4 linked regions of the Drosophila melanogaster genome follow. The protein of the gene in region 1 interacts with the protein of each later gene in a pairwise test. Each region holds a gene or a part of one and is shown on either strand. Other genes may lie near its edges.

Evidence for each region.
Region 2: the proteins of CG13245 (region 1) and CG6023 interact in a two-hybrid assay, tested with the Drosophila melanogaster proteins (one large-scale study listed by BioGRID).
Region 3: the proteins of CG13245 (region 1) and CG10621 interact in a two-hybrid assay, tested with the Drosophila melanogaster proteins (one large-scale study listed by BioGRID).
Region 4: the proteins of CG13245 (region 1) and CG13482 interact in a two-hybrid assay, tested with the Drosophila melanogaster proteins (one large-scale study listed by BioGRID).

Annotation. Positions count from the first base shown.
Region 1 is NT_033779.5:15,999,952-16,007,505, reverse strand, and holds CG13245 (uncharacterized protein), read right to left. Parts: upstream 3,182-7,554; 5' UTR 2,813-3,181; coding exon of another isoform or gene 2,651-2,812; 5' UTR 2,491-2,650; intron 2,419-2,490; 5' UTR 2,397-2,418; coding exon 2,154-2,396; 3' UTR 2,045-2,153; downstream 1-2,044. Other genes in the region: CG31820 (uncharacterized protein), read left to right, coding at 1,412-1,600; CG43816 (uncharacterized protein), read right to left, coding at 2,651-2,812; CG34167 (uncharacterized protein), read left to right, coding at 4,062-4,445.
Region 2 is NC_004354.4:18,311,324-18,319,228, reverse strand, and holds CG6023 (uncharacterized protein), read left to right. Parts: upstream 1-3,327; 5' UTR 3,328-3,496; coding exon 3,497-3,647; intron 3,648-3,892; coding exon 3,893-4,212; intron 4,213-4,292; coding exon 4,293-4,739; 3' UTR 4,740-5,105; downstream 5,106-7,905.
Region 3 is NT_033779.5:18,949,489-18,957,700, reverse strand, and holds CG10621 (uncharacterized protein), read left to right. Parts: upstream 1-3,269; 5' UTR 3,270-3,429; intron 3,430-3,910; exon of another isoform or gene 3,911-4,127; 5' UTR 4,128-4,140; coding exon 4,141-4,297; intron 4,298-4,363; coding exon 4,364-4,543; intron 4,544-4,703; coding exon 4,704-5,362; 3' UTR 5,363-5,495; downstream 5,496-8,212. Other genes in the region: Bhmt (Betaine-homocysteine S-methyltransferase), read left to right, coding at 656-1,270, 1,377-1,757; Nedd8 ubiquitin like modifier, read left to right, coding at 5,986-6,003, 6,164-6,294, 6,355-6,460; CG10428 (uncharacterized protein), read right to left, coding at 6,777-7,754, 7,807-8,212.
Region 4 is NT_037436.4:14,325,170-14,331,872, forward strand, and holds CG13482 (uncharacterized protein), read left to right. Parts: upstream 1-4,176; 5' UTR 4,177-4,267; coding exon 4,268-4,576; 3' UTR 4,577-4,716; downstream 4,717-6,703.

The sequences.
Region 1 (7,554 bases):
CTTAACTGTCTGGGGGTCTGTGGTTTTTCCTTTTCTCCAACAGCGAGCTGTTATTGGTAAATCGATGTAAATTGCTTTTTAAACAAGTTGAATGAATAAATTATAAGGCCAAATGGAATGCCAAGCGGAGGATTCATTGCCAATGTTAATAGTGAGAATTTTTGAAATTGTTATAAAATCCAGCGTTTAAGGTAAGCACAAAATTTGATAGCACAAAATATTATGAAATAAGTTTCAGTTATTATCTTTTTTTAATCTTATTGTATTTTAAAGCTAAGTATATAATAAAAACTCAAATATTTATTTATTGAAGCGTAGTTATTTGACATTTGCTGATTTGCTGATCACAACCAAAACAATTGCTTTTCATTATTCAAAATTTAAGCTGGCCGATTTAATACCATTTGAACAATTCCAATTTAGTTTAAATAAGTTACATTGTCCATTCTCTGATACAGACTTCTCATATATATGGATATATGTATATGTATATGCTGTGAGTGCATCTTTTGAAAGCCTCAAGTGTGAACACACATTATAATAAACGCCTCAATTGTTGTTCAGTCATCTGCGTAATTTATGTTTAGCTAATGTTCAGGGATCGATGAGCTTGTCAGCTTTTGTGAATCACAACGCCCGCAGACGCACACGAGGTCCTGTATATCCTATATCCTGTCCCGCACACACATGCCCTAACATTAACCCCCCGAAAACCGAAGGAAGCTGGAAAATGGCGTTAAGGTTGCTTCGTTGAGTCTAATAGACTTTCATGTCTGCCTCGACATTGCCGTTGCCCCAGTTTAGAGCGAGTCCTGTACAGAATCCTTTCGGCATCTTCCATCCCATCTCATACTGGTGTTATTCTGCCCAGAGTCGTCGTTTTTTTTTTTTTTTTAGACATGTTTCAATGATTTCTTATTTTTGCCAGAGGGGCGAATCTGTTGCGCTGCTGTTTTGTCGTTAGAGAAATTCAATTTTTTTGTATTTGTCGCTTCGATGTTAAATCATTGATGTGTGAAATTTGTGAGCTCAGCCAGGAGGAGAGCAGCATCAACAACTTGACTTTGATCGATTTTAAAGGCAGTTTCTCTAGCCCACTTTGATTTCCTTTCTGGCTTTCTAGCTGGTTTTAAATTTTTCCACATCAAGTTGGCTTCGGGAAGAATTTCCCAGGGCATGGGCTTGGTTTTCTTAGCTCAGCTCATTCCAGTCTATTTACTTGTTTTGTAAACAGCTCCGTACGCTTTCACCAGTACATAAACCAAAAGTACGAAAAAATTTCGTGTTTCAACATTTTTGGAAATCTTTACTCAAGCATTTCTCTTGCCTTAAACAAAATGTGAGTAGTCCTAATTTCCCCGAAAGATTTTCTATCGAATATCTCCTTCAGTTATAACCTATCCTCCCGAAGATGTGTTGCCAAGGAGCTTGTGGATCGGTATCCTATGCCCTGGCTTATGGCCCCGTCGGACCCGCTCTGCCAGCCATGAACTATAATAACTGCTGCTGTGGACCCAATCCTCCCTGTGGTCCCTGGACATGTCCTCCTAACAGGTGCTGTTGTGCCGGCGAATGGGGTTGCTTTGGGCCTTTTTACTGAGAAACCCAAGGTACGACAATTCCTGAAGAAAACGACGTGAAATTTTTTTGTGCTTTTGGTTTGAACCACATTTTCACTTACACAATGGTTCGAGCTTTTCAATAAATTAATGTACTTAAACAAGTAACTTCTTATTTACTATTTGTCAAATTTCTTGAGAAATTTCATATTCCATTGATACGTATATGAAAAATAAGAAAATATACCAAAATCCTAGATAGCACAATCTTACTAGGATTGAGTATCCTAAGTATACCATGAGGTATAATTCTTTCTCTAATGGTTCTTGAAATTGTATGGCTCAAATTTAATATTCCTTTAAAAAAAAATATACTAAAATTGTCGACAGTTTTACCAGGACCAGGATACCGATAGGAAAAATATGAAAATAATTAGGCGCGACAGCGTAGGTACAAGATCTCTAACTAAGGAACAAACTTACTTAGTCAGTATTAGTCCCTCAAATTTTTATTGGTTTCCCATGGAAATGGCTGGTACAAGAAGATCTACACTGATAATTTTAGTAGTATAAGACCGCATTTCCTCCTGGCGTTTATTCGTCTTCCTTTTTTTTCTGAGTACTCGCCAGTGTGCAGAGCTGCGCATCCAGTGGAGACAGGATGTGCGGAACATAGCAGTTGTTGGTGTTCTTCTTGCGGCTAGTATCTAGAACATAACACTTATCGCAAGGACCGCAGGGCGTGGGTATAAAGTCCCGACCGGTGAAACGCAGTGTTGACAAGGGAGGATTATTGCAGGCCAGGTCAAAGGAGGCACAAGCCCAGCCACCACACATGGTTAGGAAACGGATGTGGGAACTATATGGAAATGTGAATGATTAAAAATAAAATTTTTAAATAAAATTTTATAAAAGCATAAATGAAACTTACCCCGGTGAACGTTTAAGGTTGTTGTTCCGACAAGGACTGGACTGGGACTGAATGATATTTGTTTCATGGCTGACAGCCAACAGTTCCCAAGGCCTACTTCAAGATAGTTGAATTCCGGACTCTCCACCCAACTCTGTGGCTACTCCAGGTCAGAGATCACCTAGCACCCGCAGCAGCCACCGCAGCAACCGCCGTAAATGGAACAGTCATCACATGGACCGCAGGGCGTGGGTGCGAAACAGCGGCCAGAGAATCGCAGTGTCGACAGGCGGGGATTGCAGCAGGCGATATTGTAGGAGGCACAGGCCCAGCCACCACACATCTTGACTTGGTTTAGGTTTTCCGAAACGTGTGCTCTTTTTACTATTGTTTTTTTTTTTTTTGGGTGGGGTGTATAGTTATTGGCCCTGGAGCAGACACAAAATCGAGTGTTTGGTGCCGAAGTGGAAAAGGAACTGAAGTGGATTGGGTTTCCCAGGGAGCAAAGGCGATTTTTCGCTCTGACAGCTATTGACAATCTCATCGACGCCGCCCTCGGGTTAGACTACGCTTTGGATATCTGGCCTAAAATGAAAGCTGGCTAAATCGGAACGAGAGAGTGGATGGCACCCTGATGCTGAAGTGAACTACATTTTGGAAGCCCTTAGCCGGGATCTTCAATCATATATACCATATTATGGCATGTTGTGGGAATATATAAATTAAATTACTCTATTGGTGTTCTCTGTGACACAACCAATCAAGTAAGCGTTACAAAATAAAGTACGAGATTGCATACTGTTCAGAACAACTTCATAATTCTATTACTTCTACCACGAGTTTTAACTCGGACCGTTGGCGATGCAAATTTCTATCCGCCGAATAACGAACCGTGATGAAAGTTTTTGCCACTCCGGTCCATGATACTTCAATCCAACTCCTATTCATCCAGGCGGAGACAATCAATTACAATATCTCCCGACGGACCAGAGGCCATGTAAGAGGGTGTCTGCATGTGAGGATCTAGTAGACAAACCCACGCATGGTCAACTGTGCAAATGTAACTGAGAGGACATGGGTTCGACGAAGCGTGGTGGTTCTGGTTGGATATTCCTAGCGACCATACGTCGGTTTTAAATGGTACCGCAAGGCAGGATGTGTAATTGAGATGTAATTTTAATTGCAATGTTTTGGTGACAAAAATAGAGTGATGGAATAAAAGTACTTTTATAGACTTTTATAGGAAGAAAAATCGTTAAGTTACCATATAAATTGCAAATTATACATGGAATTACTTAGTCTCCAATATATGTTTATTCGATACGATTCTAATTTAAAATGTTTTCAACCGCATGTATCCTTGCCTTTGGTGTCACTTTTCCAGTAAATACTTGAGGAAACTGCAAGAGTTTTTATTCGACAGGAATTATAAAATTTTCCCAGTGGACTTGTGACTATTGGCGGACAAAAAAGGTGCTAAATAGGCGCCTGGAGCTGTGAGCTGACTGTCCATCACTGCCCCGGAGTATTTAGCATTTTTTTTAGCGGCAAGTACTTAGCAACAGGTTGCAAAGGGCTAAGTAATTTCTAGGATGAGTTGTGCTGCACCGCGATGCCGACCGCAGTTTGGATCCTGTGGGTCTGGTTGTAAGCCCTGCGGCGGAGGTGGCTGCTGTGGATCCTGCTGTGTTGGTGGTTCCTGTTGCAGGGGCGGTACAGGAGGATGCTGCGGCGGATCCTGCGGCGGATCATGTGGCGGTTCATGTGGTGGATCCAGTGGCGGATGCTGTGGCCCACCGCCCTGTGCCGTGGTCTCGTACCGCTTGACCTACGGCCCCGTGGGTCCCCTGCTGCCCTGCATGAAATGCACCTGCAACTGCGGATGTTGCAGCGGCGGTTGTGCGCCACCTTTCTATTTTGTGCCGAACAAATGCAAAAATTGCTGGGAATGGGGCTGCTTTGGCCCGCTGTACTAATACCCTGTAGTACCCTGTTGTTGCACTTTTTATTGGAACTTTTCATATTTTTGAATGCAATAAATTCACGTGTCAGCCAGACTTGCATATTTGCGCCCATTTTTGTTGCCTTTCTGACAGGCTAACAAATGACCGGGGTCCAGTTTCAGGGTTGCCAAAGTTTGCGCCATGAAAATCATTTAACATTCGAACTTTTGTTAGCTAGCCCGCAAAAAACGAATGAAATGGGCAGGCAAAAGTTTCCATTCGAGAGACTAGCAAAACAATGGAAAAATGGTCAAAATCTGAAAGCTGCTTGTTTTGGTTTTGCATACGAAGCGAATGCAGGGGAAAAACAAAATATTCGTTCGAAAACCTTCCAATCTATTTGGTTACACGACGTACTTATGTAGGTCATGGATCTGACAGTTTTTGTTCAGCTATTCGGTTGTATTTTTTAGCCACGCTTGAATAGCGAAGACAGGTCAATTGAACGAACTTTTTGACAACGGTTCCAGTCACCAAAATATTTTCGTTTAAAAACTGCCACAGTTGAAAACAAATTGACGCGCTCCTAGCCATAAATTTCTTTTTTAATTAAACCTCAATGTAATTTGGTTCACAAACCAATACATTAGTTTTGATAAGGAAGCTCAAAAACAAAAACGCAAATGGTCTGATAAAAATTTTCAATTAGCATGATATTTCTTAGTCTAGTTATTGGCTACAGACCACTTTTCAATGGGAATAAATAATTTTTTCCAATATATTTACACGCAATATTTTAGAAACTTCAACTCCAAGCCGTGCCTTTTGTGCGCCTGCAAAATTTTCTTCATAATTCTAACTGATGGCCTTTTTTCAGTGGCGTAGGTCTGAACCAAATCTATGCAACAAATTAACAAGATCTGAATGAATATTTTACATTTTCTTTTCACTTACAATTGGCCATTCCATCACTTTCTTCAGACGAATCTCCGCCCAAACAAGTTAAATGAACGGCATAATTTTTATTGTCGGTTTCCACAAAAACACTTTGTCGAGTCGCCAGAGGCATATCCGGTGAATAATGTTCTCGAAAGCATTTGAACGGGTTTGTATTCTGATATTTTAACCACCTGGTTATTATCCAAAAGTTACCATCAAATATGGGCTAAAATTGTTTCACTCAGAAATGTATTGTTCAAATGTAAATATCAACATACTGGGTCAACTGAATTTTTAATAGCGGTACATCCATTGTTTTTCACAATGGGAAATTGCCTTTGCTGAGTCGGTAAAGGGCGACACAGAACTATTATATCCACTACTAAAATTCTATAATGTTAATTAATTTTACAAACACCTAATTGTAAAGTGACTTACGGCACAAGTCCTTTCATTATTCTGAGCTATTCATCTACTTGGATAAATTAGTTATTACGAAGTGTCAAGCAAATCGAATTATGTCTAATGCAGATTATTACAGCATGAGTAATTAGCTTAAAGCGTCTTTTACGGCACAAAATCAGTTTGCTTCTTAAATGATTGGTTACAGTAATCTGGACAAAAGATTAGAACTACATGGTCATTCATTCTTTGGAGTTTTTTTTGTTTAATGAATCCTAATTTTCAAAGCTAATCTAGAAATTTATTTTTTATTTTATTTGTGTGTAATCGCACTGCCGAAACATATTTCTCCTGCCAAAAATCTGCTTGGTTTTGCAAAATCCACAGCCTACATGACCGTAAATTATATTTTAAGAGTCCCAACAAAAAGCCGGAGCAAAATCACAGATACAGATATCATCATCACCCAGTCGGAACGCTCAACTGAAAGTAACTCACCTTTGGGTAACTGGTGAACAACACAAATGTTATGACTGCCGGCAGTTGTTGTCTTTGTGTGTTGTGATTGTTGTTGTGCCGGCAATAAATTAACTTATTTTAGCACGTTACACGACTTCCCACACCCAGGCGCACACACACTCAACTTGGCTGCTTTTCTTTTCGCACATACACATGACACTAGATGGGCGGTGGGTGGGTTTGGTTTACTGAAAGGACAACGTCAGGGGATTTTTGGCCCGTCCAGAATATATATCCCGCACTGGAGAATAGGGCTTGACCTATGCCCTTACTTTAGTATTTTGCGGATTTTGCACATTTCTCACATATTTTTCATAATTTTCGCGAGCAAATCGCGTAGGACCAAAAAAGTGTGTACGAAATAAAAGTTTGGCGAAACGAAAAAGTTTGTCCTGTTTGCAGTGTTCGGGTTTTTTTTTGTTTGTTTTGGAAACACTCAAATCTCTGGTGAAATATTAATTTTCACAAATTCTGACACTTTTTTTTAGCGGGCATTTGCTTGGCCCGCCGAACTGCAGATTCTTTCGCAATTTTTGTTATACGAATTTTTTGTGTTGTCTGGTTGCGCTGTTGTTTATTCTTTGTTGTGATGGGGATTTTATTAAAATTTATTAGCTCGCTGGCCCTCGTCGTTGGCACTGTTGTTGTGGTTGCACCCGTGGGCGATGGCGACAGCAGAGCGAACCAAACGATTTGACATTATCAACGTAACTGAAGCATCAGCGGCAGGAAGCTGTCGGCCCTCGCCGGAATCCCAACAACAGCAGCTGCTGCTGAAGGACCCGATGCCGATGCTGTTAAGTAGAAGCTGGAATCGAAGGAATTCGGCTGTACGTACTCGTGTCCTGCCAGCGAGAGCACAGAATAAAGAGCTGAGCCACTCGGCACTTGACGAAACACGAGCCGAGGCTGGGGAAATTTCAGAGAGTGCGGGAGAAAGCAGCTAAAAGAGAGGTTGTGTTTCGTTGATGAAAAGCTTTCGTGTTCGAAAAGTGAGTTGCTTGTTAACAGGGATTCATTGGGATTTATTTAACTGATAACTTAACAGACTCTGTAAACTTACATTGGGTAATGTAATTCTCAGGAAACAGGAATCCCCGTTTAATTATTATAATAACATCAACATATTTATTTACTATTAATACTAATTCGTGTTCTCCTAACCTTTTCTTTAAACTAAGGTCTAACAAAAATCTTAATGGCTATTACACTAAACGGTACGATTAGTTGTACGCAGCTAGTAAATAAAATGAAGTCCTGCATTGAAATTGAATATAAATTG
Region 2 (7,905 bases), on another chromosome or scaffold:
AAAATAGGCACTTCTCTCACCTGTCCGAGCCCCTTGTTTTCGTACCGCATTTGCCTTTGCCTTTGATGGGCGGTAAGACTCTGCCCAAGTGCTTCCCACAGCGCTCCATTCATAATATAATGCGCTGGGCAAATAAGTGAGTGTGTGCGCCCCTCTCTCGGTTGGTAACTTGGTCGGAAACTCGGTCGTTCAGCCGGTCTGTGCCCATGTCTCCAAAGATACGTGATCCGAGAGATAGTCGACACTGCGATCCGGCCTGAATGGGAGGTGACGCGGCAAGCCGGAGAGCTGGGGTGCTGGCACGGGAAAGAGAGCCGGGTCGGGGCAGCTTCTAAACACAAACGCAAATACGGAGCAACGTCGCTCGGTGATTTACCCATCCAGCTATAGACATATGTATGATATCAAGCCGGCCAGAGTGTCTGTGGTCAGTTCGGCCCACTCCCAGATGACAGGTGACGGCCATCGAATTGGGGTATTTCCTCATGGCGATTCTAGATTCTACATTCACGTCACCGACCGTTTTATTCGGTCAAGGGTAGTCGATGGCAACTGGCATTTGGTGCCATTGAGGACTTAGTTTTAAACGCCCTGATTCACTTCGATCTTAACTAAGGTGCGGTCTTTCCACCACTGTATTTCCATACACCAATTATGTGGAAGTTGGCACAGTGGGAATTCTATTTGAATGGAGTAAATTCCATTCCAAGCGATAAAACATTAAGTATTTAAGTCGATGCGTACAGAACGAGAAAGATCAGTAACGGCTACTTCTAGAGTATAATAAAACCAATGCAAATCGAATGGTAATCTCCCAATAATCGAATGATTAACCTTGGCATATCGCACACATCAACCACATTGAGTGTGCCAAATTAGAACAGTATAAGGAAGATTGCAGAAATAATCCTTTCTTGACTCTCAGATGATGCAAATTTAAATTGAAATTTAAGCTATTATTTATATATGATTTCCCGGTAGTTTATGTACTTTATATATAATATAAAATAATCAGTTATAATGCCATACAATCTGAAATTGTCTTCTGTGTGGCAAATTAGATCTAGAAACTGATTGATATATTGTTCATATCCGAGTTGCATTAAACACTGTATCTGTTTAATGTTAACAAATGTAACTTTATGAAAAATGTAACTTTGAAGGAAACACTATCTTCTGTCGCGTGTGCATTTGGCTAACGAGAACTTACACAATGAACTTACACGTGCATCTTGGTGGTATATTTGCTAAATTTAAATATTATATGCCTGGCTGAGGCGATAAGTCTGAGCGATATTTCCGTCGCTGTAAGTGTGGGATGTTTGCAGCTTTTTACTACGCTGAGTACTAAGTACTGTCGTACGTCACTCTGGAAGAGCTCATCAATGGAATGGTCATTTCTAAAAAGGGAATGGCAAACAGGAACGAGCGATAGATAGCGGATCTCCCTCAAACCGGATGACGTTGCAAGTTTAGCGAGTTCAGGCCGAGATTAGTGCGTGGCCAAAGTTAGCACCTCCTCGAGTGCGATAATTAACAGTCAACAATGCCTGGATGGGCGCAAAAAAAAAAAAAAATAAATTATAATAATAATAAAGAGGAGGAAATCAATACATATCGAATCAAAAGGAGAAGGCACCCATCTAGCGCTGAACAAATGCAATTCTGGACTGACAGCGGGCAAACTGCATTGGAAAACCCTTGGACATGGCCTCCAGCTCGAATTCCGGAAAAGTTGGCAATTATGGATCTGCCCAGAGCAATTGGGTAAAAACAAAGCTCGAAAAATTTGCCCAACTGATGAAATACTACGCAGAAAACTCGACAAGGGAATACGACTCCCATGAGCTTTGTGTCCCATGAGTGGGTTGAACTACGTGCGTCTTTATGAGTAATTGCTATGTCAAAGTGTGAGTGCCATGTTGGGCTAGGTTATGTGCTTGCTCGATGCACTGTGCACTACTGTGCACTGGCCATAGAAGAGACAGACACTCTGTCTGCCGGTTGCCGGTGTCTCTTATACCCAGTGCTCGATCAATTGGCCAAGTCCAGCGACCAGCGGCCAGCGGCCAGCGGCCAAGTGGCTATTGCCAGTCAGTTGCATGCAAAACGCGCACGTGCCAAGCGATCGATCGGAAATGCCTACGGAACGACGCGTCATTTGCCAGGCAAGTGGCACCCGCATCATAAATCGCCACTTAGTTAAAGTAAATACAGTAAATCGAGTAACTGAAGAATCCGAAGTGACGCCGCCGCCACAGCAGCTAAGAGACACGAGATATTCGCAAATTAATCAAAGTAAACGCGATTCCACTTTGGCTAATTCAGCCTGATGGGCATTGAGACCAATGTTGAATTTACATATAGCCATTACAATTTCCGGAAAGCTCAGTATTCAGGCATCAGGCTTATCAAATTTCGTACAAGAACAGTGAAATTCCCCATAAAAAATGTGTTTGTTGTCAAAATGTTGCCTCGAGCTTTTTGCTTTGGGTGTTACTCTGTTAGCTTGAACACTGAGTTTGGAATATGTATACCAAACAAATTCCAAGAATCTATCAAACATGTATTAATCAGCTAACAAACAGAGCAATTGGCATGTGTCGTTAAACAGTGACTAAAAGCCACTCATAGACAGAGCTAAACTAAAATGTTTGCAGTCGTCGTCCTCCAGGCAGGCAATTTAAATAAGGATTCAATGTTGCGATTGTAAGGTCAGCCTAATGCCAGTTGGCAACCAAGATGCCCGATTACTTGGTGTAGGGTGCAAGAATGCAATGCGACATCCGTTTTGGGCCATGAAGCGTGTGTGCATAAATTACAACGGTTGGCAACTCATTTGCCGCAAGACAGGAAGAAAACAAAACGTCATGTGCAGCGCTGCAACAGCGGCATGAACTACTGACCAGGGAGTAGCTAATCCCCGGCTGAGTCAGGAAGCCCATCCAAGCCAAGCCAAGCCAACCCACCCACTCACCCACTCACCCCCACCTCCGATAATTGAGAAAACCCAAATTCGAACTCCCTTTGCGGGCCGTTGTTTTTTTGATTCATTATCGTCATCGACCATCGGCCGCTGATGCTGCCGTTGCTGCTGCTGTGGTTGCTGCTATTGCTGCTCTTGCTGCTTGCTGTTGTTGTTGTTCACTTGTCGCTACAACGAGCACAACAAGTGTGAGTACCCGCCGCCCGCGCGCGTGTATGTGTGTGTGTGCGTAAAAAAAGTAAGCTCGGCCACGCGCTGCGCCGCTCGTGCGGCTTCGGCTACTGATATCGCCGGATGGCGGTCCGGTTTGTATTTAAATCGCCGGCGTGTGCCCCAACTCCTCATTAACCGTAAGATCTCGCAGAGCCCGCACGCCAGCCCCAGCTCTCCAGCTATCCAGCTATCCAGCTCTTTAGCGCGCTTTCAATCTGAATCTTGGCCAAATATCGAAAACCAATAAGACATACTCTCCGAACCGTGTGTGCCTAACATCACAAATCAAATCAAAATATGACCGCCAACAGCAGTGCCAGTGAATCCTTCGAGCTCCAATTCTTGGAGCGACTACAGCAGCAGCAGCAGCAGCAGGAGCAGGAGCAGAGTGCTCCGGCGGCGACAAAAGCGTCCTGCCAGCAGCAATCCAACATCATCGGTCGCATTTGTAAGTGTGCATTAAGATCTAGCGCCTCTGAATCATGTCGCTCTATCTGTATCTTTGTATCTATAACTGTGTCATCGCTGGGCAAACAGGAAAGTGCTCATCAAATGATAGGGATCTTGGGCATTGAAGTTTTCAATCATCATTATCTTATTGGCCAAGCCTGGGCATCCATCAGGATTAGGGAGATCTTTTGAACATCTTTGTATGAATCCTATTTACTGACCTTCCATCTTCTTGCATTGCAGCTACCTCCAAGTGCTGGCTCCTGGGCATCCTGCTGCTACTCACAGTCGCCACTAGTTGGCCAACGGGGACAATTGCCGCACCGCGTCGCGCTCGAGGATTGAGCCTGATTCTGCCGCACCGCAATCACGCACGACTACACCATCACCACCAGCACACCAGGTCAATAAGCACCAAGATCGTGCCCCTGTTAACCAATCAGACTGAAGGCAGGGAGCAGTGCACGGACCTTAAAATGACTCCCAATATCGAACACCTGCAAGTGGCGCTCGAGGTGGCCAAGAATACGCGGGAGGCGGTCCTCTGTCTGACCAAAGAATGGGTAAGTTAGCTAGAACGATGGACTTGCGGCAGCAGAGGCACTAAGTTTCCCATTTCCCATTTTTTTTCATTGCGAAACAGCTGAGGAATCAAAACCACACCCTGCCCCAAGATCTTCACTCCTACTCTCTGCATTCCCTGGCATTGAAGCATCCGCTCCAGTCGGAGGTCAAGGAAGTTAAGTTCCAGAACCAGCTGGGTGACTTTGTGTACAGTGGCAAGGTGACAACGCTGCAGGAGGAGATGCCGGCCATTATCGAGTCCCTGCTGGTCCTGGAGCATCTATACGAGATCATTGTGTTCGATCACCAGTCCTGGAACTGCTACTTCAATAACTTCGTGCATTTCTTCCATCACAACATGCACGAGGCTCTCAAGGTCGCCGGTCTCAACGATGCCTGCAATCCGAGGAACGCCGAGTACAATGCCGATCACATATGGCCGATGTTTGGCGCCGCCGTGGAGACCATCAAGGTGCTGACCATCATCGAGCACAAGTACGAGCAGCTGATCAAGCTGTATCAGTAATCCGCTGGACAGAGTTGGACGCTCCAGAGGAGCAGTAAAAGCCATACCAAAAATAATCGCCTCCGATGACCCACTGCAATCTCAAGCTAATAGGCTATGCCCACGAGTATCCAGATCCGTATTCGTCTACTAGACACCCTCATCTGCCTTAGACCCTATTATTTATTATAACTTATTAAATCCCCATTGCCCTCATACGTATTTATATCGCCTTTGCATCCTATTTATATACATACGCGTACCACCATACTCACTGAACACATTCACCGCATCGCAGGCTCGATAACTTATGAAAACTATTACTTAAGTGTATTTTTTTTATATATATTTACAATATTACAATGACTATTAATAAATTATACCGATAGGCGCATACGTGAAGTGCTTTTCTTTTCTGGTTGACCAATTTCATCATTCAGATGAAATTAAGTTACAACGAATTGGGGGCTTAGTCAACGGTGGGAATTCTGCCAACCTTTCGAAGGTCTACAACATCGATTAAAGCATGGGTGGTCATAAGATGTTTCCATGAATTGAAACAAGTGGAAATGGAACAAATCAAAGGTAGAGTTCAAAGTATAATTCTCAATTGCATAGCTAGCTAAGTAAATCGCTTAATACTTAGGGTTTTTTGATTTTTCACTGTTTTTTTTTTGGGGACTCGCGGGTTTATGACCTCCAATGCTTGAAGTTGGCAACCCAATTACCACTCCCCCAAATCGGAAATACTGGGGAAGTATGCGCGAGATTCCGTTTTTGGCCCGACTCGTCACCTGCCCTGACCCACCCCATTGTCGTTTATAGCTCGTGCCCGGGGCACGTTCCGATAGATAGATAGATACATAGATAGATGTATGTACATACATATATATCGGTTCGAGGTTTTCCACAGCGCGGCTGTTAAGAAAACCCCAAGTACCGTACAGCCGTCTGGCTGTGACTCATGGACCATTAGGCAAAATGTCGGGCAATCGTCGTGTGATCTCTGCATGTGACAAAGCAGTTTGTACACGGTAAAAAAGTGTGATATCTCCCCAGTGGCGGCTTATCGGAAATGTTTTATGATCATTCCTATCTGTAGTTTCTGCATGGTAGTTCTGCTTCCTGCATAAAAGAATCGAAAAGCTTGATAGGGCTACAAAAAAGGTCTGCAGAGGGAAAGTAGAGGGCTACTTTCTTAAAAAGGGTTCTATCAAAACTAACAGCCAAGGAGACCATTATTTATTTTTTTTTTAAAGCATGCCTACGTACATATATCGTTTGGGGTATTGTGTTGCCTTCGTTGGGGCACCAAAGGACCAATTTTACCGTTGCCACTTGACTGGCTTCCCCATTCTTTGGGGGTAATCGGATCGGATGGTCAGGAGCGATCAAAGATGGTGGTGCGTGGGATGGGGACTCGGGGATTCGGATTCAGCTAGGGATTGGGCTGGGACTGCAGAGCCGTTCGCGTGGCAATGGCGTCAGTCGCCTCGAAAACCGATAGCTGTAAAAGCTGCCGCCGCAGCGAATTGAATCAGCGGCAGAGGCCGCCGCCGCAGCAGCAGCAGCAGCAGCAACAGGCGCAGCAGCATTTTCTCTGCTGCAGCGAGCTGAGGTTATGAATGAAAATCCAAGTCCACACAATGTTCCGCTCGACAACCTGTTCTTCATCTTCCTCTTCTCGTCGCTGGCCGCACACTGTACCTCTCTGTCTCTCGCCCTCTCCCTCTCTCACTCGTTCTCTGTGGAGAGCGGGAACCTGTTGCGCTCTGCTCTTTCACTCGAATCGGCGCTCTCCGCGCCTCACGTTTGGAGCTTCTTGGCCGCTCGCCGATTGGCCAGAGCGCTTCGGAACCGCTCGTCTTCGGAGTGACGCTTAGGGGGCAGCGGACCAATCAGCGACGGGCCACTGACACACATTCACAGTTTCACCGATGGGCCTACGTGCAACGGCCCACGCACACAAGTGCGTAGAATGGCATCTCCGCGCCACGCCCCACCGGCTCCCCCTCAACCCATCGGCCAGTGGGTCAAAACGAGCTCCAGCAAATCAATTAACAAACAGAGTACATTTTCCTGTGAGGATATTATGGGCGTAAAAGGATTAGATGACATGTGTCGAATGTACAACTGCAGAGGAGCTTATTGGACCAACGACTGACTCTTGATGAAGTGTAAAAAACGAAAGTAATGGTAATGAAATTGTTGCAAATTTAATTTAATACATTTCATTTGTACATATTCGGAATACTAGTAAAATAGCTAGATATATATATTTAACGAAAGTGTAAGATACTTTTAGTAAATTAACTGAACATTAAAAAGATGGTATTGCACAAATAATATATTACCTATTGCCTATAAAATTGGAAATCGGGCGCATTAAAGCCGGCTAAATATAAGAAAAATGTTTGTATAATTCAAAGAGAATGACAAAAGTATGTCAACTTGTTCTCACAGTTCCTAGCTGGCCAGTACATATATGTAAGATATATTTATATGTACGTGGATTGAAAAATGTAAGCTTAAAGGTCTAACAAATTTGCAATTTCTATACTGACCAACTAACCATTAATTAAGGCATAACGATGTACCACTCTTCGAGGCGATAATCAACATCAAAGAGTTAAAGCCGACTGAATGCTGAATACTCAATAAATCCCAAAAGGTACCAGATGAAATCCATGGCGAATCCGAATTGCAACGGCAATTGAGGATCGGATAAGCGGCGGAAAATAGACAGGCAAGCAAACAAACAAACAAGATACAAACAGACAAGCAAATCGACTAACTAACCGTTTAAGTTACCGTTTCGGATGTGAGAATTGCACTTCGGGATCTTGATAAAGCGAGCGATTTTACGCATAATCAAAAACATCAAAACAACAGAGGAACTGAACTGAGAAATGGGAAACTCACACCTCCCCCACCCATTGCACACCCACACCCACAGTTACACACCCACGAAAACAGGAAAACAGGAGGTTCGGACGTAGGTAGGCATGCCTGGGATGGGATCAGGTCCTGCGAAAGGACAGGAGCTAAGCAGCGTGTAATGACGGATGGTTCTCCTTATGGCACATCTACAGATACTTGTATCTGCATCTGTATGTATCTCTATCTGTATTTGTATCTCTCGGTTAACCTTCCGTCTCGAGGTCGAGGTGTTCGCTGTGGCAATTAA
Region 3 (8,212 bases), 2.9 Mb from region 1:
TTTCCTTGGGAAAACGCAACAAACTTGCCGCCCTCTCCTAAGCGAATGAAATTTGTATATCATCAACTGTATCAGCTGTTGGGTTGCTTCTAGACAAAAGATAATGCACAGACATCTGTTGCTTATCGAAAAAAATGTATATATAATGTTGCGGTTAAGTACCTCATACAAGTTTTTCTTCTCGTCAACCGCTTGTTGCTATTTTAGTACCTTTGTGACATTAAATGCCATTGAATTTTTACATTTTTACAGTAGGAACTGAACATAACTTGATTCCTACTTGTTTCGAAACATCTTTGATTCTTTATTAGATAACTATATTATTATTTTATTATATTATATGTAGCTATGTAGCTAGCTACAAAATTCAAGACACATTTCTTAGAATTCCAACTTATCGAGTGCTCACTGCACTCGTAAACAAAGAACAGCTGAGATGTGTTAGGGTATGTGTAGGTTTTTGCGTTGTGGAAACTCATACAAGATAAGCGGAAAAAGTTGCCAGCCCAAGCGAAAAAATCCGACAAAAATAACAAAAATTCCAAGTCGGCAATACTTACAATATCACGTATCTGTCAGATACGAAATTTTGTCGTATCGCATTGTACGCTTCCAGAAATTTGCAGTTTAACGGAAAACGTACAGCAGTGAAGACATGGAAGTGAATCAAAAATGGAACTGGGACACCAAGCCAATTCTGGTCAAATGCGGAGGATTCTCCTCGCAATTGGCCAAGAATGTCACCGAAAAAGTGGACGGTGATCCACTGTGGGGATCGCGATTCGATGCCACCAATCCGGAAGCTGTGATCCAAACACATCTGGACTTTCTTCGCAACGGAGCGGATATTATTCTAACCAACACGTATCAGTCCAGCGTCGAGGGATTCGTGAAGTACCTGGGCGTGACCAGAGAACGAGGTGTGGAGTTGATCCAAAAGAGCGTTCAACTGGCCAAGCAGGCAAAGGAACAGTACCTTAGCGAAATCGGTTCTGAAGCGGAGTCGGCTCTTCCACTGATCATGGGCTCAATAGGTCCATATGGCGCCTATCTCCACGATGGATCTGAGTACACCGGCAACTATGCGGACAAGATGTCCAAGGAGGAGCTGAGGGCGTGGCACAAGACAAGAATTGAGATTTGTCTCGCAGCTGGAGTGGATGGATTGGCCCTGGAAACACTTCCATGTCTGATGGAGGCAGAGGCAGTCACCGAATTAGTACTGGACAACTTTCCGGATGCCAAATTCTGGGTCTCCCTGCAGTGCATGGTGAGTAATATCGCAAAAAACAATAACATTCTTTATACAAAACAAGGGTAAAAAATATATCGTTCAATTACATTTAAAAATCCACTTTATGTTCCGATATTTTCAGGATGAAAAGCACATGGCTAGTGGAGAAAACTTCGCGGAGGCGGCTCTCTCCCTCTGGCGGTTGGTCCAAAGTCGGAAGGCTGAGAACCGGCTCCTTGGGATCGGTCTGAACTGTGTAAACCCACTATTCGTGACCCCTTTGCTATCATCGCTTACCAAAGTGGCCGGTTCGGATCGCATCCCACTGGTGGTCTACAGCAATCGCGGCGAGATCTACGACGTCGAGCAGGGAGATTGGACTGGAACCGGCGAGGAGGTGGTCAAGTTTGTGCCCGAGTGGATCCAGCTGGGAGTGCGCATCGTTGGCGGCTGTTGCCGGGTCTATCCGACGGACGTGTTGGCGATCCGCAAGTACGTCGATGGCCTCAACATAAAGCCGTAATCGGGAGAGAACTCCGGTCACTGATAGCAGCCTTGTCGCTAATGCGAAAGCTGTTTCGTGTGACTAGACCTAGACCTATTTAGTTTGCTAAATACATATACGCGAGTACTAGATGTACCCAGATCAGATGGCTTCCTAATCAGCAGAGTGTGGAAAAAAGCGTGGACGGCTGGCTGGGAGACAAACACAGATTAGGCGGGCGGACCAAAGGTAAACAAGTGGGCTGGGGATATGGGCAGACGTTCGCCCAACGACTGTTTTTGCCAACCTAGCTCAATTTTTGAGTCCAAATCAAAACAATTTTCTATTCAATTATAACACAAAAACGTGCATTTGTCCTTTGAAAAACTTGCTGTGTTCTTAGCTTTCTATTCTTTATAGCCGGATTTAAATTCTTTAAAATTAATATTGTTAAAAGTGTGTATGTATGTACTGATGTAAAGCAATAAACTACAAAAATATCAAAAATAGTTGTTTTAGTTATCTTCAATATATCATATTTTTAGTACAGTATTAAAATAATATCTTCATTAGAGATTCATCAAATCTAATCACTTCTTACATATGTACCAAGGCAAACGCCTTCTGGTACGCAAGGTACTTTATAGAGAAGGGTATGCCCTTCTATTCTTGCGGTTCTCGACTTTATCACTATGAAAGATATTTCAAAATTTTTTGGAACTTCATACCGCATTTTTAAAAGAGTACTTACATTTTTGGCTGTTGAAGCTTTTGAGGATGGTGGAGCCACATGTCCACCTATTGCACTCTGACCCAATCTGGCAATCAGCCTAATCGGATACTTCGTTCAAAAAACATGATTTTAACGGCCATTTTCAAATTGAAAGCCTTTTGTCGGTCAATCTCTTACTTTACATTTTACTTTATTTATTTATTTATTTATTTATTTTTTTTTTGTCCAAATATTAATAACAATCATCACTTTAAGCTCATCTCTTTTAGAGGAGATTTTATTTGATATATCTTATGTCTTATTTCCTGTTCATTAGCGATTTGTTTACCAGAATAGGGGTTAAATGTTGTTTTTCTCTTTGACATCAGTAGACCTATTTTTGGACCATAATCTATTGAGTGCGGTCGGAAGCTCACCCATTTTCCTTTAAGGAGGACAGAGTCAACAACCAAGTACATCTTGAAGTGTTGGTCCTAGGCGGCGTCCAGAGGTTATCGGCGTCGACTTAGCAGATGCGACATCCCGAGCAGAGTCACTCGGAAGCCAGAACCACGCACAGCGGCGCTTTGACGATTTCATCAGCTTCATCAGCCTCGTGGAGGGGGAGTCGCAGTCCACCCGGACAATCCAATCTGGCTGGCCAGCGTCTGGCAGCTGTGCACCGGGCTTATCACCCACTTGGTGGGGGCACTCTCATGTTTGTGTTTGCCGTTTTGTTTTGTTATAAATTATTATAAATATTATAAATTTCGCCCTGATAAGCCGAGCCGCACAGCTGAGTGGCCCTTCGGAAAGTATAAAAGCCCCTCGACGATACGTGAAACATTTAAACGTTCGTCGAGCGTCCATTGCGACTGATCATATCCACCGTTCCGAAAGATTTGTGATAACCACTTGATAACCAACCAGCCAGTCTAGTGTCTAATAAAGTTGTTATTGAATTTGCCCATTTACAAGATCCATAAACAAGCTGTCAAGGTGAGTGCGAGACCTTATCGTGTGTTTTTCGCTTCCCTACCGATAGATTTTGATGACAGACGGTGTATACACTATCCAAGGAGTATGCTTAAAAGTGCAACAAAGGGATCTTATAAGCAATCTAAAAATGTTATGCTTGGAATACTTACATATATTAAATATTAATATATTTTTTAATTTGGAACAAGAATAGATCTTGAAACGTAATAAATGATTCACTTTAAAAGATATATATTTCTCAAAAATTGTTGCCAAATTTTAAAGAGCTGATGTATATTTTGAATTTAGCGTATACAGAATAAAATGTTTCAGGCTTTTAACTCGCCATTTATTGAGATACGTAAAAATGTGACCTTGGTTTTAAATTTGTATACTATTCAGTGAAAGCTGAATACTCCTAGAATTAAATCTTTTTTATAATAAATCATAAGACTCATATAACATATATCTTAGCTAAAGAACTTTGAGCTGTTTTTCTCAGTGTGTTTTTTAGATTAAGCCACTGGTCTTTTGTTCTGCCAAGTTCGTTGAACTGAAAAATAGAGATTAGTTCTTCCGATACATTGTATAACATCGCCCTGAGTGCAGTGGAATCCAGGTGGCAGACGCAATATACATATTTAATTATCTCGCAGCCCGCTGACGTAGAAATGTAACTAATAATCAATTTTCAACGGATCATCCTCCACCCCTCTTAGTAATCTTTCAATCATGGGTTTGACGCGCGTGCTGGTGAAGGATGGCGGTTTCGGCACCCAGATGACCGTCCATGTGGGTGACTCTGTGGATGGGGATCCGCTATGGAGTGCCCGCTTCAATGCCACCAATCCGGCGGCCATTATCAGCACCCACCTGGACTTTTTGCAGAGTAAGCAATTGTTTTCCGGTAGCAATTGGCAACATACTAACTGAATTTTCCCCTTGACAACACCAGATGGTGCCGATATCATTTTGACCAACACCTACCAGTCCAGTGTCGATGGTTACATGGAGTACCTGGAGCTGGACGAGGAGCAGAGCATCGAGCTGATAAAGAACACGGTCCGCCTGGCCCACATCGCCAAGGAACGCTATCTCACCGAGTGCTATCAGGCGCAGCTGTCGGTGCAGGAGGGTAAGTTGACATCCATGAGGTCCAGCTCGGGCGGGATTAATTTAGATTGTGGTCAAGTGAATGATGTGGTAGGGTCATTACTTTTAATACTTTCTTTAATACTTTATTTTATATATAGTAATATTTACCAATTATATATTCCAATTTATTGTTTTTAAAGGATACCCTTTGATCATTGCCTCCATTGGACCCTTTGGGGCCCACCTGCACGATGGCTCCGAGTACACCGGTAGCTATGCCGACTTTGTGCCGGCCAAGGAGATTACGGACTGGCATCGCGTGAGGATCGAAGCGTGCTTGGAGGCTGGTGTGGATGCGCTGGCCATCGAGACGATTCCCTGTCAAATGGAGGCGGAGGCCCTGGTGGAGATGCTGTGCGATGATTATCCGGATGTGAAGTTCTGGGTGGCCTTCCAGTGCAAGGATGAGAATACCCTGGCGCATGGAGAAACCTTTGCGGACGCGGCGAATGCTATTTGGGACCTCTTGGCTGAACGAAATGCCCAGGATAAGTGCCTGGCCATCGGAGTAAATTGTGTGCATCCGAAGTTTGTGACCCCGCTCTTTAAGAGTTTGAATGGTGACCGCGAAGTGGGTGAGCAGATACCGTTGGTGGTGTACCCCAATAGCGGAGAGGTATACGACGTGGTCAACGGCTGGCAGGGAAGGGAGCACTGTGTGCCCTTGGCGAACTACGTTCCGGAGTGGGCGCAACTGGGGGCCAAGGTCATTGGGGGATGCTGTCGCACTTATGCGAGGGATATACGCCACATCGGGGAGGCCATTCGCGACTGGAACAAACTGAAGAAGCTCTCATAGGGATGAACTTCTAAGCTGGGGATCTCAGTACCTTCGAAAAGAACAAAGTAGTTATCCATTTAGTACTGTAAATAAATGTATTTAGTTATTAAGGCATACAACTTATTTTAATAAAACAGAAAAGACAAAAGACAAAAAAATACTTTTTAATTTTCTAAGATCCGAGATAAAACATTAATAAACAAATTGCTCTTAATTCAAATCCCTCAAAAGTGACGCCTTCCATTTTTTTCAAAAGTTAAAAAATGTAGTAATGGCATTCAATGGATTTTTGCATCTCATGAGTAAAATAATTTAAGGAGAATTTGAATTCTAAATATGTGAGACTTCTAACCGTAATGGGCACACTATAAATCAAGCTACAAAAAATTTACATAAATTAAGTTCTCCTTTTTCGAAATGTATTTTTTTACACGTGAATTGTGTAGAGATGGAATGATGGAGAAAATACTATATTTGTAATAGTGTGGAAAACAATCGATGGTCATCGACAGTACTATCGATAGTTGCCAGTCGTACCAACGCCGAAAGTGACAGCCAAAAAAGAGAACCAGCTGTGGAGATTTGCAAAAATTTCGGCAATTTTGAATTTGTACAGGAGCGCCTAGTTAAATACACACAAAATGTTGATCAAAGTGAAGGTTAGTGTGGAAGATATGGAGTAGCAAAAAAGTAGGATAAAGATAAATCACAGCCATCGTGCCCAGCGGGCACTTTGAACAACAACAAAATCGTCGAATATTACAGTCAATATATGTGTGGCTGGATTATTAATGTAAATATGTATTATCTTTCCATTAGACCCTGACCGGCAAGGAAATCGAGATCGACATTGAGCCCACGGACAAGGTAGATCGCATCAAGGAGCGCGTGGAGGAAAAGGAAGGCATTCCGCCCCAGCAACAGCGTCTTATTTTCTCCGGCAAGCAAATGTGAGTCTTTCTGGCTATTGGTCATTGATTTTAGCTTATTTCGCATGCGATCCCCCCCAGGAATGACGATAAAACCGCGGCGGACTACAAAGTGCAAGGTGGATCCGTTCTTCACTTGGTATTGGCTCTGCGAGGAGGTGATTCAATCCTAACACCTTGTGTGTAACTAGCGTGTTCATAAGTGGAAAACATTCATTTAAAATTCACTCAAATATATTAAGCTTGAGAAGCGTCATATGGAGAATTAATATATGTAAACTAAAAAGAAGTCTTAAAAGTGGTTTAGAAGAAAACAAAGTGTATTCGCATCGGAGGAATTTAGACAGAATGGATTGGGGCCAACCGGGTCCGTAATAAAACATGTTTTTTTGTAAGCCAACATCTAAATCATTCGAAAAAAAGAAGAACACTCCACAATGGTGGGCTAAGGTTTAAAACATATCAAAAAGGCATTTATTTTGTCTCAGTGGCAGATTGTAAGTTCAGTTCTGTTTAACAAAACGTCCGACTAGCAGGTGATTCTTTGGCGTACACTGTTCGGGCTTTAAGCGTGTGAGAATGACCTGGTAGCCCGCCTCCTCCGCCTGCAGCAGGCGATCGGTGTCCACCACGGACATGCAGTGGAGTCCTTGAAGCGTGGTTTCTGGCTTGCAGTTGGTTGTCCCCATCTCGTGTGCCTGATCTGCCGAGTGGGCAATGTACAAGTAGTCCTTTGTGTCTAACACCTTTTGGAACGCTTTGCTCAATGGGTACGAAATGTGAGGCATGGGCTGCAGAGAACCGTAGCAGCAAGGACAGCAAACAAAATGTGCCTTGGCTCTCCGGCACTGCTGCAAAACGATATCTGTCGCCGTTCCACACGCGTGCAAAGAGGCCCCGATCTTGAATCCTCCGACAAAGTAATCTATGTTGCATTGGTAAAAAACGCAGTTGGTCAAACCCAATTCGTTTGATCTTTTCTGAGCTTGAAGCAGGGAGAAAGCTTTGTTTTCCATCACAATAATGGTACAATTTGGCAGCTTGAGGGCCAGCAGTATGGCCAAATGCCCTGTGCCGCTGCAGAAGTCCACAATGCGGTCGCCCGGTTGAGCCAGGGAAACCACCGCATTGGCCAAGTTCTCTAGCTGCTGCCTCTTGCGCTCGAGTCTCTCCTTGGGCAGCGCTGAACTCTTAGCATGTGTGGGCTCAATCTGCTCCCAGTCGATCAGCTGCTGGCCATAGGTGTGCTCCGAATCGGAATTAAATTGCAGTTGCAGCGAGGAAAGCTTACTTAGAGCCGCTTCCAACTCCAACTGACTAGTGTAAATCCGATTTCTTGGCTTGTATCGCTTGGGATCGGCTTTGTACAGACTGGTGGCCTCGCAGTCGGGGATTCCCAGTTCTCCGGGAGGGGTCTTAATTGCTTGCGGCACATAAAGATCTCTTAGAACCCTGGCGCATTTATCGCCGAAAGAGTCGATCTAAAACATATAATATTAGCTCTAGTTACTTTTACAGATCAAATCTACAAACCTCGCTGAACCAGGTACTAGTGAGTGGAAAATGGGGCAGCATCTGCCCGCAATGTTGGAAGACAATTCTCAAAAGGGGGTACAAAATTATATCCGCAATTGTGAAACTGATGCCCTCGGCGAAGCGGTGCTCAATAAGCAGCTCTTCCTTAGGTGTAGTGCACTTGATTTGCACTCGTTCTCTCCTCTTGACCTTGCCGCCATTCTCAGTCTGATTGGCCTGCTCTCTGGCCTGTTTATAGATGTTATGCATCCTCACCGGTTCGTTCATGTGCTGCTCGAACCTCACTACTTCTTGGGGGACGAATTCCAAAACTTGCCCACTATGAAGTTTACTGACAACAGCCACTAAATCCACCTCACAGAACTTAGTCCAAATCGATGCTTCTGACGGAGCCAAGAGGCAG
Region 4 (6,703 bases), on another chromosome or scaffold:
GAAAGGAAGGAAAAATATAAAACCGAAACACAAAGGAACTAACAAGCGATTCCACCTACTCCGCCCCATCAGCAAACTCTTCTAAGTGATTTCAACCCGGAAATGCCCATAAATCGATTGGATCTTGGGCCGTATAAGGGGTAAGACGAGTTTTCAGTGTGCTCCTACACCGTGCGAAAAATGATAGTAAATATACTAATGCTATTTAGTAAGCATTAAATATTTTATTTTTGTAAAGATATATTTCAATTTTAAATTAAATAATAGTTCATTTGGTAAAAATTCTTTCCAATGTTACAAAAGGAGTCTGGCTGTTTCGAGAACACTTTACTTTTCCAGAGCAAGAAATCTGTTTCTAATTTGTTGGGTGTATTAAGATATAAGAAGAGGCAAATGCATTTCTCGCTGTGTATGGGTTCCTTTGGCTGCGGATGCATCTGGCTTTATGGGCTAAATGAATGAATTGAAATGGGTGCGGACGAGTGTGTGTGGTTTGTATCGACTTGTGGCCCACTTGTCTGGATTTTCCACCCCCATCCCTTCCACTCCCCTTTTGGGTAACACCCCCTCATGTGGGGTACAATGCAAATAAAAGTTCATTACAAGCTCAGGCCAAGGCGCTTAAAAAAACTGTTGTAACCGAGGCTTTTGTTATATTCTCCGGTCTGTCCCACTTTGTGTTGTGTATTCTGCCTCTTTTATGGTCAACGGCCCCTTTCTGGCGCTTTAGATCGTGGGTGGGAAACGGAGGAAGTTGCCTTGCCGGAAACGCCACATCCGTGTACGAGTCCATAAAGTCAATAAGGGAAAATGGTAGAAAAAGCGGCGAAAGCGAAGGAAATTTTGAAAAGCCAAAGGGAAATGAATTAAGAATAAGCAATGATTTACCAACTTTGCCTTACTCACATTTATGATATTGGTGTCCGGTTGGGCATCCCTCAGCTTATCCTATTCGATCGTAAAATCTCTTTAAATTATAAGACTTTTATGAGCGATAACTACTGACGGAATAAAATACGACATTCGTTTACGACATGGCACGCATTATTAAATCTAAAACCAGCATTAGCCATTAAATATATGAGATTTTTATCTATGACAACTGTTGAAAGACCTCCTCTTCGAATTAATTGAAAATGTCAAAGATCCGAGGCAATTATCGTAAATTATGAACACGCGCCCGAATCCAAATATTATTATTATTTTTATTACGTGCGTAGGCAAAACAAAAATCAAGAATTTCGAGCCACCATCTAAAATGTAATGTCGTCTTCAGGGTGAGTTCTTCATAATGAAATGTCAACAAATACAAATACATGTGTGTGTATGTACCAAAAAGGGGGAAGTTGGCAAAAGTATAAAATAGGGCCAGAACATGTTCTTTGTTTCAGCGGTGGTTGCTCGACTTCTCTCGAGTCTTTGAAGTTGACTTGCGGAAATTGAAAACTTAATTGGCAGAGCTGTCTTACCCTGCTGTTCTGCGTTGAAGGGAAAAATAGCAAAAATATGGGGATTTCTAGAAGATATTTTGATAATTGTGAATTTAAAATACAACGTAAAATAATTTGTATACATGCAATTTTTCTAAAATGAATTTAAGTAAAATAATTTGTATACATACCATTTTTCTAAAAGGATTTATTTACATGCATATAGGAAAAATAATGCTTGTTTACTTTATAAATTGATAATACTTTTGCTGGACCACGTCCTGAAAATCTGTATCTCGTGCAAAAATCTCCATCGGTGACTCACGAGCAGACATAACAAATAAATTCACCAGAAAATCAGAGCCAGCCAAATCCCGTAAATCGCAAATTTTCTATGCATTTTACCCGTTTGCAAAATCAGATGTGGAAAAAGGAACCAAAGCAACCCCAGACAGTAGAATATATATATATATATATATATATATATATATAGAACGAAACCATAAAAAATGCAACAGACCATAATAATTTCAACGTTTATTTTTTTGAACATTTTCTGCTTTTGTCGCAATCTTCCACAGGATCCCTCCACACCAGACCCCCCTTTGGTCCATCGAATTCAGGGTCTGACTATGCAAAAATGCAGCAGCCAAAAAGCACATAAAATTATTATGTGACGAGGAACGTGGGATGCGAATATATGGTGGTAGTGGGGGGAAAAGCGGAGGACAATGCTTAAAGGCATTTCGGACTCGGCCAAAAATCAGACTCAGCATGTGCGCATAAAGCTCAAATAAACTCAAGTTGTTGACAAAGGGGTTAAAGGCCATAATTGTGGCCGTCGGCAGAAGGGGTTAATATGAATGGGGTGGCCTAACGCTTCCCCATGGGGAACCTTCCAAACGTGCCAGACTGAAAGTGGAATTTTCATTGGATGTGTAAACAAAACCAGCGGGGGAAAATGAGCCAGATGATCAAGTCTGAAAAGCTTTCGGTACGGTAGCACTAAAGTGAGTTTTTAAGGGGATATTCTCTGCTTTATGGCCGTGCTAATGTATTTTTTTTTTACAGAATAAAATTAGATTTTATGAATTTGTATGAAGGACATGTTATTTTATTATGATTTGCTTATGATTTATTGCAAATCTCTGAGACTTCCTGAGGTTTCTTGTAAATTACTATTTATTATGAGTTTATAATAAGTTGCCAATAAATTCAATTTATTGTTCCAATTTCATTAATAAACTTCGAAGTTTTTTTCTAAAACTTTCTCAAATATCCTTTTCTTCTTATTTTCCTCCAAGGTTGCCTTATCTACCACCAAAAGATTTCTTTACAAAGCTAATAAAATGTATTACCAAACTTTTGCAGAAGTTCTTTGAAAAGCAACTCCATAAAATCAAATTTATGTATTACCTGCATTGCCCCCTTCTATTTGCTTTCCCCCTACTTTCCAGCTTCTTTTTTACTCATTTCCTATATCGTTTTAGCTCCCTGAACTGCAGGAGGACAAAACCTCTGGTCGCACTTTAAATAAGCATTAAATTGATACAGCATAAAGTTGTTTCCTTCTCTTAGCCCGCTCTGTCTACCCCACTCTTTTGCTCCCAAGACGCACTCCAGACACACTCTAATCGCTTTATAACTTCTAACGCAGTTTATCAGAGTCGTCCGCAGCCCGTGGCCCCTCATCCCTTAATTCCAACACCCCCAAAAGTCATCCTTCCCATGCCATTAAGGCGGCTCAAAGGCAAAAGTTATTGTCACGCACTGAAGTCGCCTTCATGTGGAGTTGTGTGGTGCACTGAGAAAATCATTGGTTTTTAATAACTCGGCTCAAAATTATATTACATCAGTACGCAGGCTCTAGTCTTACAGTAAATATCAAATATTCTATTAATAAGATCAGTTAAAAAAGCTACTTTATTTTAGCAACATTATGAAAAGTTAACATTAGTTTACAGGGAATCCCTAAAATCATGTACCTATTTTGAGAGATATCCTCTTCATGGTAAATAACTCATACTCAATACACTGATAAGATTGTCAAGCTAAAGACGAAAATATTATGCAAGTGTTGATAAGAAGAAATTATATCAAGAGATTGTTTCTTTCTGTGCAATTTTTTTTATTGAAATGGTCGAAAGGGGGTATATAAACACCTCCACCCATGCCAATCTTCATGCAAAAGCTTTCTGGTTATTGCCTTCCTGCTCGCACTTTCTCTGTGCTTGTGTTGGGTGTCTTTAGTGCCTTTTTGGTTTTCCTCGCTTTTCTTCTTTCGTACTGTATTTTCTTATTTTTTGTTTAGGACTACGTCTGGCAAACAAGGCGGAAATTATTGTTGGCGGGGTCTTAAAGTTTTATTTTACCTTTTACATATCTATTTGTCAGCATCCTTTTTTTTGCAATATCAAATTGATGTTTTGTCTGCGAAATACTTTTTGTTTTTTCTTACATCTGCTATTACTATTACTGTCATTACATTCGTTAAGAATGAAAAGAATAAAAGCGCTTAAATGTTATGAATTAGTCCGGTGAGTAATTCCCGATCCATGATTGCACAAAAACATTGCTATCTTTATAGCCCACTTTGAGTATTAGCAATAGAATCGAAGTGAATCCCCAGTGAGTCAGTCGAATACACACCCCCTTCGATAAGATAAAGCAGCACAACAATAATACTATCTGAATTGTCAAGCTGTTCAAGTGGGATGTGTATATAAACTGGTCATATCAGCGGATGGAAAGGCAGTTAGCATTCAACAAGCAACGAGAGCAGTTTTCGAAAGGAATATATCAGTTTGATAAGGATTAAAAAAAGTAAAACATTCAAAATGTCGCCGCCACATCACGAAAATCGCCTGTTTGGAATCCACCTTGGCCTGAATTTGGGTGGAGGTGGACATCATCACCACCACCATCATCCACCGCCTCCGGTGCACCACTATCACCCACCGCCTCCGGTGCACCACCATCACCACCACGGACCTCCAATGCACCACCACGGACCCCCGCCGCACCACCACCACCACTACGGACCTCCGCCACCGCCGCCCCACTACGATCATCATCATCATCACCACGGCAGCCACTTTGACCATCATCATGGTCCTCACCATGGACATCATCATCATCACTGCTAGTACAATGGAATGGAAGGAAGGTCTTAAAAACCACAGCCATCAGGTGGCGAAATAATGAAAGTGTTTATAAGCGAATTTAATTTATTACATAAAGTGTACAAAAAACAAAACCAAAAAAATCATTAAAACCACTTAGACTTATACAAAGACATTTTTGAATGCTAGTTTCCTTGGGGAAAGTAAAAATAAATAAATTAAGAAGTACGATGATAATTCATGTAGAATTTTTTATATATGTATGTACTCGTAATGGATTTCTGCATTCCAAAAATACGTGTACTGCGCACTTAGTTAACAAATGTCCATACGATAAAGTATAAAATAACAACTAATCTTATCTTGATTGACATGACGCAAAGATTTCACCAAAACGTAATTGAACGATTCTCTATACATATAAAGCTGATTTTAAAGCCAAAGGAATCAAGAATAATTTTAAAACTTAATAATTCAAGAAATTCTAATCCAATAAGAAGATTATTGGCAACCACAAACACAAAACAAGACCACCCACGAAAACAAGTTTGTAAGCCGATAAATACAAATGAAATTAAATATAATTTTAGTACGGCTTAGATTCGCTTCGGGTGGGTCAAACAAAATGTTTGCCAATTACAAACCCATTTCGAAACGCTTTTATTTTTCTGCGGTTGTCACAAAACGCTAATTAGACAGCAGCTACCATATAGAGTGGGTCTCTCAATACCCGTATATATTTGTCTGTGGGTTATGTGGCCTGTCATAAAATATAAAATGCTGCCCCCGGCGTAGGTCGTATGGGTATCGACACCTGGAAAATATTGGTAATTAAAATTTGCCAGTTGTCGACCAGAAATCCGAAAAAACCGCTTCCATTTTGGCCTGTCTAATAATGTTGTAAAACATGTTGCCATTAAGTCAAGCGACAGACGCCGAAACGCCCCAAAGGTAAAAACTAAAAAAACAGGAAAAATAAGGAAAATGATTTGGTGGTAGGAAAATACCCTACACATAATTTAGAAGCTGAAGAATAAACTTATAAAAATTAAGATTTAAGTGATCTAATGATTAAAATGATAGTGTGATTTAAATAACTTAGTTAAAACTGAAGAGCTGGAAAAATAAGGAAAATGATTAAGTGGTAGGAAAATACCATAGCTGAAGAATAAACTTAAAAAAATTAAGATTTAAGTTATTTAGTAATTTTAAAATGTTTCAAAAGCTTTTTTCTCAACAACTTTAAACAAATTCCTTCAATGTTAAATATTAAATAGAATATGGAGTGTTTAGCTAATGTACATACCCCAAATTGTTTTTAGGATACCTTGTCGTATACTATAGCTCTCTCATTGACATGTCGCGCTAATGGAATTGGTAGCAGTAAGTGACACTCGAGCACTCTCTTCAGGTTTTTGGTCCAAGACTGTCAATTAAATATGAACATTTTTCGGGGTCTGGCTATCAACGATTTTTTGACAATTTCATGGGACAGCTCGAAAATTGACAGGCATGAGGGTAAAGTGCCCCTCCTCCTTAAATTGACTAGATGACAATTAACGTCTCAATTCATAATTTTTGCGTTTGAAAAAAACCATTCCTCAATGCGCGTGGCTTGCTTTTAATTAAAAAACTTAAATTATGCCACAGGCCTAGCCTGATCCATACTTTAGCCCCAAATGGAGCCGCCTGCCAACTTCGTATATCTTAATTGTTATTTGTATTTAATTATATGGCAAGTCGACTCTAGTTTGCCGCGAAAGTTGAAAATGTTGGAAAAACAACAGCAAGTGGGTGAGGAAAAGAAGTCAAGTCAAAGTTGCTTCGCTTTTTTCGTAATTAAAATGTTTACTTTACATAGTTGGCCAAGTGTTGGCTCTACCGGGGAAAAAGTGAGTTGAAAGATGAGAGAAAACAATAGAAATACGAGTTGCTTGAGCATCCGTCAGATACTTTCAGTGATTATGCAAGAGGAAAAACCTTGCACACCACGAGAAAAATGAAAAATGAGTGAAAGATTGAGTCATAATGACAGTTACTTGTTTTTTATTGAAAAATATTGTAGGATTTGTTATTGTCGATGAGTGGAAGTATTCTTATTTTAAGGGATTATAATTGATTCTTAATTTAATCTCAGTTCAAAACTCTCAA